3 linked regions of the Caenorhabditis elegans genome follow. The protein of the gene in region 1 purifies or fractionates together with the protein of each later gene. This does not show direct contact. Each region holds a gene or a part of one and is shown on either strand. Other genes may lie near its edges. The genes, in order: upp-1, adk-1 and enol-1.

Region 1 (3,754 bases):
CCAAACAGAATCACATTATTCTAGAAGAGAAGGGTTAGTTAGAGAGGGGTGCATTAGAGAAAATATATGAATACTATTCGTGTGGTAAGGAAACATGGAAAGCAATTAGTTGAGAATCTTGATTTTAAGATTATTAGATCCCGGTCTGCTTGCGAATGTAGGCAGTTACAAGGCGGAATGGACGTTCCTCGTATTCAATATATTGCTCTTTGGCGATTTGAACCTATAAATGTTATAATTGAAGACTGTCAATAAGAATCAAAATATTACCTGATCTCCATCCATACGATTCAAAAGAGTGACGCAGACAATAGCAGACTGGAATCCAGCGCGACACGTGAAGCTGGCGAAGCAAGTTGACTCCATCTCAATATTTCGTACTCCAAGAGCATTTAGCTTCCGCAAGAAAGCATACTTGTCTTCTTCTTCGTAATCGCAAAAGTATCCATCAAGACGCATCTGTCCCTCATAGAAATCGTCGGCGCACATGGTTTTTCCAGTTTCAACTGGAATGCTTTTCTCTTTTCCGACTTCGCAAAGAGCCTCGCGGAGTGCGGCATCGAGTTGAGTAGGCCGCTCAATTCTTTTTCCTGCGATGATTTGCACATAGGTATCTCCAAGCTCAGCATTCATGGCTTCAGTTGACACAACAACAGTTCCTGGTGGAACACCGACTCCTCCAGATGTTCCAAGACGAATGAAAGTTGGGTTCTTAACACCAGCATGGTGCATCAACTTGAAAGATTCGACGAGCATGATGCTCAAAGATGGGGTTCCCATTCCATGCTGTAAATTTATTTTTGTCAAATAATTGTCGCCTCAAAATAACATACGTTGATCCAGCAAACTGGTCCAGTTTTGTAAATCACGAAACGGTCAGACCGTGAGAGATTTTCAGAGCATGGAATATTGGCCTCTTTGGCAAACCATTCAGCATACAACTTGAAACGTCCTGGAGATCCTCCAGTGCAGACGAACTGAAATTAACTTAATGATAGTGCAAATTATTATTCACTAAAATGATTCAATTTCGGCACACAACACCTATAAAAACAAAAAAAATCTTCCGTTGCGGGGAATCGAACCCCGGCCTTATGAGTGAGAGCCATAAATCCTAACCACTAGACCACAACGGAGCGTGTTTGACACGTGCAGTAAAGACATAGACATTCCTATGACACGAAGGGCGCTTGTGTAACAATTGGCTAGAAGTATTACCCGCCCTAGGAGAGAGATAAACTTATCAGTGAGGAATATGTAGCTCTTGAAAATTCTAGATTCGTTTTGTGTTGGTATCGATTCAAATTATATTTACCCTCTATTGAAATTGGACACCAGGAGGCGCGTGGCTATGCAAATTTATAATTCAAAAAGAAGAAAACTCGCATGACAACTAACGGGTCAAAAAATTGAAGAAATAAAAGCGCCAAATGAATGAATATATTTTTGTGTTTGTTCTGTTGATCGATATGTATGAATAGAGAAAACTGTTGCATCATTCTACCTGGGAAGTGAAGACATAAATGGATTATTTCTCATATTTTTTGGAACATTATGAATCACCAGCCGTGGACCGCACCTACGGCGCGGCCCCCGACTTCTTTGAGAAAACACATTAGATATACGGTGTCTATCGCGGACCTCGATCGATGCCTGCTGCGCACTTAGCATAAGGTTTCCCAAAATTTCGTTGCTCTGATCAGAGATCAAACTACATAGGGACAGAAGGACACGCGCTTTATATATAGTAAACGATTTTTAAAGTGGAACATTTCTCGAAGATTAGGAGTGAACTAATATTAAAACTAATGAGGGAACTTTTTCACTTATTCAATTTTTTCTAGACTTTGTAGAACCAACCTTGGTATCTCCAAAAACTGCTGGAATATCGAGAGTGTCGACTCCAAAACCAAAGTGATAAAGAAAATCTCTTTTATCCTTGATATCGAAGTACTTGTTTGGCTTCTCCACATTTCCGTTCTTGACAAGTCCGTTCATCTTGATGGATCTGAAAAAATTCCAACTTATAGGAATGAAAAAAAAAACTTCATGAATAAAAGAGAGCAAAACAAAAACAGGAACCAGAATACGCGTGCTAAATGTCGTCAGTATCACATAGAATAAGAAAAGGGCACTCCAAAAGAGACGAGGAGAGAGCAGAGAGAGTAGACGGTTAGAGATGCTTAAAAAGGACTCAAATCCAATTTGGACAACTCGTGAGCTCCAGGCTACGTGATAAATAATAAAAACGAGAAAAACGAGATTCTACCTTTGCTACCAAGACTTTTAGTACACCTCAGAGAAAAATTGAAATTTAAAAGAAAAGTGAAACAATTATTTTTCAATCTGAAATAAGCAAAATCACTCTAATATATAAAGACGAAAAAGAACTCACAAATTTCCAAATGAAAATATTGAGAAAATGAAACTTTTATTCCGTAAAGCAAGTAACCTCGAAACTCCTCCCTTTTTATCTATCTTTTTTTTTGTTTTCGTCGAGAAAATGGGCGGAACGATTGGAAATAGATGGAAAGAAAAATTATTTTGCGGAAAAAAGAAAGCGTGGTGATGTAACAAACAGTTTCTGTGAAGAAGCTTCGACAAGTCAGAAAAATTGAGTAAAAGGACAAAGTTTTGAAATTTGAGTAAAAAAGTCAACAGGAACTGAACTTTCTGAGACAATAAAGACAAACAAAACGATGGTGACGCAGTTTAGAACAGTTTCCACGTGGAAAATCGAAAATCTCCGATTGTTTTCAACGAAGGATTTGCTTTTATTTGATTTAAACTTTTCGCACCAGCAGTTTGTTCAAGCACCACATGATATAAACTTTGGATATTAATAGTAATGAATTATCTTACTGAAAATATGAAGTTTTTAGACTTAAATGGAAGAAATTCGATGATTTCGAAGGAAAAAAATAAATTCGCGAGAGTTTGAAAACACCTGTCGTAAGATGTAGCGTAAGTGTGCAAACACCGACACGTCGACATGCAGACAGATAAAAACGCGCGAACTTTGAATATTACAATTTTGCGAGAATCTTTTTTGTTTCAATTATTATTTTAAAAGTTTGCGGTAAGAATACAGATAATAATAATCATGTCATTCTGATCTCCGCGTTCAATTGTTTCTTATCTGCACAAAAAGTTCTTTCTCCTGATAATGCTGATAATTCTTGCTGCCAACTTTGTTCATTTATAGTTTTATGGTGTTGATTGTTCAAAACTACGCTTTTAGTGTCCCCAGTGTTTCATCTATTTGTCATCGTAAATAAAAGGCTAGTTCCTGAACACATTGACAATAAATTTCAATCATGAAAGATGGCGAGATTATAACAATGATTCTGCGAAAGAGACAGCACGTGGCGCAAGAAGATGACGAAAAAAGACGGAAATGATAAAGTCAACGGGACACAGTTATGAGGGGTGATCTTATCAATTGTTATCATGATTTTTAAGTGACACTGAATATTTGGAAATTCGGTCTACAGTAGTCTCACAACGTCACAAAAATCGGTTGCCGAGTTGCCGAAAAAGGGCATGAGTTTCAAATGCGAAAGATTTTTCGTTTTTATGGGTACTGTAGTTTCCAACTCGTCATTTCTTTCAAAGCTGGCTTCTTCCAGTTTTTTGAAACCTGAACAAAAATTTATTGAGCATCGTTCTCAAATTTTCAAATTTTGACTGCCAACATATTATTGTTAGAATTCAAAAAGAAACGTTGATAATTTCAAAAGATTCAATTTTAAAT
Region 2 (3,754 bases), on another chromosome or scaffold:
GTTTTACAATTTACCAAAACTGTAAGTAATCATATTCCTCTAGTCCTGATAAATATGCAACAAACTTTATTTCAGCCGTGGCAGTGTCGTTCTGGTTCTGGATCTGATTGGCTTTGTCGAAAAGGGGAAGAAGATTCCAATTCAAATCGACATGGATGAAGAATAAAACTTTGCCATTTTATTAAAACACCTGATAAATGAATTATAAGGCACATTTTGGGAACATTTGACAAAAAAAACAACACCAAAAGAAAAATTTCGAATAATAGGGATGCTCGAGGACGGGGAATGGGGAGCAAAACAAAGAACAATTTGATATACTATAAACCAGGGGACTGGGAAATTGAAAGCAGAGAAAGTTGGGATCACAGATTATTTTATCAGTTTAATGGTACTTGCAAACAGATGGCACTGTGCATCCGTGCTTCTTGATGATTTCTTGAGCAGCATAAGATCCACAGGTGACTGAAGCTTCGACTCCCTTTCCTTGGATGAATTGAGAAAGGAAACCTCCGACAAAAGCGTCTCCGGCACCGTTGGTATCGACGATTTCTTCCTTTGGAAGACGAGTTACTGGGAATTCGGTGACCTGTAGATTAAAATTGAAAACAATAAATTCAAAAATTATCAAAAACTCTCACCTTATCTCCTTCCACGACGATGACTGGCTCTGGTCCTTGAGTGAAAACAACGAGTCTTGGCTTAGTAGATTTCTTTGGAAGTGCAGCAGCCTTCAAAGCGATCTCCTTGACACAGGTGGTCTCCCATCCATTGGCTTTAGCAAAGGCAGCAGCTTCGTCTTCGTTTCCGAAAAGAACATCGACCAATGGAATGATTTCCGAGAGCTTATCGAAGAAAAATTGGGAGATGAACGGGGCGGAGAGGTTAAGGGTGAAAGTCTTGTTGAATTCGGCAGAGTGGCTTGCGAGTTGGAGAATAGCTGGTGGGCAGACAGTGATGAAGAATCCCTGAAAATTTTACATTGAGAATACTTTTGTGCTTATTTGTAAATCAATTCGATAACTTACAGTGACATAGAAATATTTGGCCTGCTCGATGATCTTCTGATTCTCCTCCTTCTGGAGATGATCTTGAGTGAAGGTGTTAGCAGCAGCCAAATGAGCACAGAGTGATCTGAAATCATTTCAACACGGCAACGATGATTTTTCTGTCCGTCAAACAATGATCCGCTTACCTATGAGTTCCGTTGATGAGGGCTGCGCAGGTACCGGTCTTAACTGTCTCGTTGATCTGATAATGCACATTCACTCCAGCTTCTTTGGCTTTCGATGCCAAAAGATCTCCGTACTGATCTTTACCAACAGCTCCAAAGAAAACTGTTCGGTTTGGTGCGTTCAAAATCCATTGAGCAACACGGAGCGAATTCTGTGCGGCTCCTCCTGGAATGTACTCGACTTTGAAATCTCTGGTAAGCTCGGTGAACATGTCATTGTGCTTGTCGTCGCAAAGAATGGCGTCGTTTTCTTTGAGTCCCCATTTGTCAAGGAATGCCTGTAGATTTCAGCAATTAAAATGAAATATTTTTGAATGTGCTTCTAGATTTCTAGAGAAATCAAAAACTTACCTTTTCAACGGTGGTTTGAATGTCCAACAATGGATTGCACATTCCGATGAGGGTGTTTTCTGGCAGAGGAGACATTTCCGTGACGTGAGGAGATGGGATTACCTGCAGATAGACAATTAGAAAATGAAAAGTGAGAAAAAGGCGAGTTTTGAACGAGTAAATAGACATAAGAGAAAACAAATAAGAAGATTGGCAAAGAAAGAGTGCGAAAAAACCGTTTTCGTGCTTTTTTGAACACGAATAACGCTGTAAAGCCAAGATATTTTGTGTTTTAGGACAATACATTTCCACGAAATCCACGTTGTAATTTGAAATTCCGGCCGAAAGACATTTTTGATAAACAACGATCGCATGGGATATCGGAGTGTCGTTGCAACGTGTTTTAAGATTTTATCGATCATAAATCTTTGCTGACAGAAGCGGAAAGTTTTTAAAACACCGTTGCTATCTTAAAAAACATGAACGTTTAAAAAAACCAAGAATAAAATTTGCAAGTTTCTAAATGTGGAAGTACCTCCTTCAAACACAAATTAGTGAATGCTATTTTGAATAATATTTTGAATAATATATTAATAATGGCTGATTGTTTGATGAATACTGTGTATTTCTTTTCCAATTCTACGATTTTAAAGTGGGAAGCAGTTATGCGGAATGGTCTCGCCAAGAGCCGTCTATTGATATATTTTTCTCAATCAATGGCTGGCGCGTGGCGAGACCAATCCGCATAAATGCTCCTCCCTTTAAAATCGTAGAACTTGAAAAATTCATAGTAAAAATACGATTTTCGAAAGTGGGAGCGATGAGTTTCCAGAAAAGTGAACGATCAGGCGTGGAAATTCAAATGTAATAAGATAACTTATTAGAACTTGGACAAAAATGAGAATGAGTTACACACAAAGTACACGATTCTGATGAGAAATGCGCCTTCCAACTAGCCTATCTTCTATTTTATCGTCCATTACTCCCCAGTCTGTCTGCAGTTTCTAAAAGATCTCCGCTATTTCGTTATCGGTTTTTTGACCGGCAAATTGTGACACTGATAGTATCTACCGATATGCCATCTAGCCTCAGAACAAGAAAAGTTGGCTAACTTGCGGTGGTGGTTTGAACGAGACAATTTACAAGTTATGTTCAATTTAGAAAACAATTTTAGTTGTCAATGGCTTTTAAACCTAGCAATTACATTAAAGTCTATTGCAAACAGTTTAAAATTGAAACTAAGCCTGAATAAACAGACACAGTGCGTAATGCAATTTTCATGTGGAAGTTGCAAAAAAGATAGAAAAAAGAGAAGAAACTACAACGGCAACTGTTATGAAAAAACCGATTGATTTCCATTGTGTTCTATGAACAGAAGGTGTCTCCTGCACATAAGTTCTCAAAATGAGAAAAATTTTCGAAAATGGCCTGATTGAAAGTTGATAGTCGATCAATTAATGATCTATTGGGGTTTCTATGTGGAGTAATATAGAAGTTGTACTCATATTTATTGGCAGTAGTTAAACAATTACCTATATACTCCGAAAAGTAAAAACTACAAAGTTTTTTTCGTACCCACGTTGTGAGTTGATACTCAGCTAATAGGTGAATTTTCATATTCTCCTTCACTGCACTATTCACTATATATATAATAGATAGCCGTTATAGAGCATTATTTTCTATGAAAATTAAACATTTAAATCTTTTTACTTATTGTAAATAAATACTTTTAAAACCTACGTTTTGAAGAACTTGCATATTTCAATTAAATGAAAAAACGTGTTACAGATTTAATATTGCCACTGGAGATTTAGTCTCAATAAACTCCAAGTAGTCTAACATGGCCGCACATTAGTAAATTGCCAAAATTGGCCAAAAATGCGTATTTTTGAGTTATTTCAAGCATATTTGTAGGTCCAAACTATTTAAATTTTTTTCTTTGAAACGGAACTAAAAAATGAAACTGGTAAATGTAACATTTTTTCTACTTCCAAAATTATAATATAGAAAAACTCTTAGTTTTCATTCCTTTTGACTGTATAAAAATTATTTCAAAAATTTTGCGAAAAGTTTTACAACGATATTTGGAGCAGTTTTAAACAACTTCATACTGAAGTTACTCAATATTTAAACCATATTCTGTGCTATTTGAAACACTTGAAACGAAACGAGAAGAAAGTAATGAAGACA
Region 3 (3,754 bases), on another chromosome or scaffold:
GGTAGAGCTCGGTCAGTTGCTCTCCAGAGAGCCACTTGGAGGAGTCTGAAGCTGGGTTTTTGAAATCCAAATCGTACTTTCCGTCCTTGAAGAATTCCGATGCTGCGACATCCATTCCAATGGAAATCTTTCCAGTGTATCCAGCCTTGTCGATGGCAGTGTTGAGAAGGTCAAGTCCTTCCTTGTTGTCTTGAATATTTGGAGCGAAACCTCCTTCATCTCCAACAGCGGTGGCATCGAGTCCATATCTCTTCTTAATTTCAGCCTTCAAGTGGTGGTAGACTTCTGATCCCATGCGCATGGCTTCAGCGAAGCTGGAAGCTCCAACTGGAAGAATCATGAATTCTTGCATAGCGAGCTTGTTTCCAGCGTGAGATCCACCATTGATGACGTTGAAGGCTGGAACAGGGAGCACAACCTTTCCAGTTCCTGCAAGCTCGGCGATGTACTTGTAGAGTGGGAGTCCCTTGTGTACGGCTCCAGCCTTGGCGACAGCAAGTGAAACTCCGAGAATGGCGTTAGCTCCGAGGTTTCCCTTGTTTTCCGATCCATCCAAAGCCATCATGAAGTCGTCAATGTCCTTCTGTGCAGTGACATCGAATCCCTTGGCGATCAGAGCTGGAGCGATCTTCTCGTTGATGTTCGAGACGGCCTTGAGAACCCCCTTTCCGAGGTGAACAGCCTTGTCACCGTCACGAAGCTCGAGGGCCTCATGAACTCCAGTAGAAGCTCCAGATGGAACTGCGGCACGGAAGACTCCTGGAAACAAGAAATGATGTGATTTCGGAATTGCGTCATAATGTTGAAATATACTTCATGAAATTTCAGATTTGAATAAAACAAGATTAATCTTATTTTATTCAAATCTAGATTGGTTTTTCAAGTTTTGATAGAATTTATACAATGCTCGCTTACCTTTCTCAGTGAAAAGATCAACCTCAACAGTTGGGTTTCCGCGGGAGTCGTAGATTTGGCGAGCGTGGATCTTGGTGATTGGCATCCTGCAAAATGAACTATATGTTTTCAATAATCAAACAAGTATATAAAACTACGTGAGAAACGGGCACTAGTAAACAAAACAACTGAAAAGATAAAATGTTTGAGGCGAGAAGGGGTAAAGGAGTGCGAGAAGAAAAAGGCGGCGCCGTCAATAGACGGCGCAGAAAGTGGAAAGAGTGACGAAGGTCGCACGGAGGACACGAGACTCAGAGAAAATGCAGCTGGTTAGATGTGTTTGTGAGCGGCCCGAGAGCGCACGTTCAATAGAATCGCACGGACAGCCTCTTTTTCGTGGCAGTGAATAAAATTCGTTTGTAGATCTCAAAGAGACGCAGTTAAGATTCGAACTGAAGTTACAAAAAAAAGGCATTGCAGATTCACTAAGTTCTTGAACACTTCTAGATATTGAGAATTATGATTAAATTCGTCATGCCGAGAAGAAAAGAGGAGCCAATGCCTTGGGCTCGAAAACAAGTGAGGGGCCAAGGACGCCAGCAACTGCCGCTGGGGAGAAGCGACGACTTGAGCGGCTGCCTTTCGCCTAAATACGTGACTTACACGAAGTTTCAGATTGGCAAAGCATGCACTTCAGATTGGATTTGAGAAGCGAGTTACCAAATGTTTTTTATGTTCAGTGGTCAGTTTTAGAAGTGAGAAGAAGTGATAAGGTCTGATATGAGAAGAAATTGTTGATTCGGAAAATTTGCAAAACATTTCGGAAAAAACTTATTTTTGAAGAGAAACACAACTATTTTCTTTCTAACTAAAACACCTCAAAGCTTGCGTGTTGAATTTAAAGAAAAACGTTAGTTTGCACACACTATTGTTCAAAACCATTGAACAAGTCAAAATGAAACATAAAAGAAAAGTAAACATCAGTCAACGTTTTGGAAAAAAGGCACGGCAGACCCCATTACCCTGATTCAGCAGCCAAAATTTTGCAGATTGCGTGTGGAAGTCGCGGGAGCATGAAATCAACTGGCGGAAAATAAAGAAAAAGAGATAACCAAAACCTTTGTCCAGACAGATTGCTTTTCGAAGGCTGCCCGCCACCTCGAATGAGCGAAGTGAGCGAGTGAGCTGCCGAGGTGAATGGAACAAACATTTTAAATCAAAAACTGAAATAACTTGCGTAGAGCAAAACTTTAGAGGAAGATCAAAACGTGAAGAGGTCAAAAATATTTTTTTCAACGTCAATTTTATTTACAACAATAAAAATCGATAGATCAAACAAAAAGAAAATAGGTCTAAAAATACTAAATATGAAACTCTAATACAAAAATGAACCAAATTATTTTTTATTGTCGAATCCTAGTGAATTGCTTTGTTTTTAGGTTGTATCGTTTATCAGTGTATTTGTCCATTTGATTAGCAACTTCTGGATCCCATGGCATATTCTTGTCAGGACGAGTGTAATCAAATGTCTGAAAAATGCCGATTTTAAGTCAGCACTGAAACTTTAAAAATTACCTGATCATCATAATCGAACCATTCTTTTTTCGGTTGGAACTGTCGAAGTAGACGTTTCTGTCTCAGAGAGAGAACTTCACCACCTGATCCTGGGAATGCAGTGATTCCACCATGATACATGTGAGTGTCTTCAGGATGGAAACGTGCAGCATGCTCCATAATCGAGACGTTTTTCGGTTTGTTCTCATCGCGAGCCATTCTATAATTTATTTTAATTAATAATTCAATAAGCATCTTTAAACAAAAACTAACTCTGTATATTTTGTTACATTTTTGACAGGCGTCTGATAAAATTCGACGACGTCTGCCACTGTTTCCAAATGAAGAAGTTTTCCATTGGTTGGCCAATGTTCGATGGATTTTCCCAGCCTGTTCAACAACTCGAACTTTACAGAGTTATCTCCTTCCACAAATTTGTACTGATCCACGTTTTCAGACTTTACTCCAGCACTTCTTAGACATGATGACGCTGCTTCAAGTACTTGGTTTTTGACATCAACGCCGGGAACATAGTTTTGCGTGTATTTGAGAAAACCTCTGGCCCGGATGGCATCCGTGTCGATACGGCTCATCGTCAACAGATCATCGTCAAATTCAGTGACAGAATCAGCTGAAGCAGTAACTTGTGTGGATTCTCTAGCACGGATGCTGGGAAGCGTCTTGCGAAGGCTCTCCTGTTCTTCCAGTGTCAGCTGCTTTACTGCTTCCTTTTCCCCGGATTTTCCAAACATTCCTTTCAACAAGTTACCTTGCGATCGGACAAGCCTCGGAAAACTCCTGTGCATCTTTTGGCAGTTCTAAATTTTTTCTTTTAAGCTTTTTCTTTTCTCTTTAATCAGAAATATAAAAAATCAGATAAAAACTGGAATAAAATACATTTCAAATATTGTACCTTTTGTAAATCGCACTCCATTCATTTTAAAAGGAAAACAAATCAACAAGCAAAAACACGCGGTATTCTCGAATATTAAATTGAAAACGGGGGCATATAAAAACGGTAGGCAGAAGCAACAGAAAGTGTATCAAATTCCATCAAAAATAAGAATGAAGGGGACGAAAAAAAACGAGATACGATTGTGTTGAAGCACTCGATTAAAAGCTGAAAAAGGGAGAATAAAGTTGAAGATCTTTTAACAGTCTGGCGAACAATTTGATTAGCATGGTCGGTTATCTTGAGCACGGGCACGTGGAGCTGCCTTGATGATATCGTCGACGCGAAGAATTTGTTCCGTGGCTTCAGCGGCGGAAGAAACCATGCACAACTTCACATTGTAAGACTCAATAA

The links.
Region 2: the proteins of upp-1 (region 1) and adk-1 fractionate together in Caenorhabditis elegans (co-fractionation; one large-scale study listed by BioGRID). This does not show direct contact.
Region 3: the proteins of upp-1 (region 1) and enol-1 fractionate together in Caenorhabditis elegans (co-fractionation; one large-scale study listed by BioGRID). This does not show direct contact.

Annotation. Positions count from the first base shown.
Region 1 is NC_003281.10:7,641,094-7,644,847, forward strand, and holds the start of upp-1 (Uridine and thymidine phosphorylase), read right to left. Parts: upstream 2,009-3,754; 5' UTR 1,999-2,008; coding exon 1,861-1,998; intron 1,139-1,860; exon of another isoform or gene 1,055-1,138; intron 978-1,054; coding exon 834-977; intron 787-833; coding exon 271-786; intron 224-270; coding exon 134-223; 3' UTR 1-133. UniProt on the Caenorhabditis elegans protein: Catalyzes the reversible phosphorylytic cleavage of uridine and thymidine to uracil and ribose-phosphate or thymine and deoxyribose-1-phosphate.
Region 2 is NC_003282.8:11,209,145-11,212,898, forward strand, and holds adk-1 (Adenosine kinase), read right to left. Parts: upstream 1,688-3,754; 5' UTR 1,661-1,687; coding exon 1,586-1,660; intron 1,513-1,585; coding exon 1,196-1,512; intron 1,135-1,195; coding exon 1,029-1,134; intron 969-1,028; coding exon 642-968; intron 590-641; coding exon 386-589; 3' UTR 165-385; downstream 1-164.
Region 3 is NC_003280.10:8,929,353-8,933,106, reverse strand, and holds the start of enol-1 (Enolase), read right to left. Parts: upstream 2,105-3,754; coding exon 2,013-2,104; intron 1,002-2,012; coding exon 916-1,001; intron 760-915; coding exon 1-759. Other genes in the region: mrpl-50 (Large ribosomal subunit protein mL50), read right to left, coding at 2,298-2,423, 2,470-2,668, 2,722-3,254; cct-2 (T-complex protein 1 subunit beta), read right to left, coding at 3,624-3,754.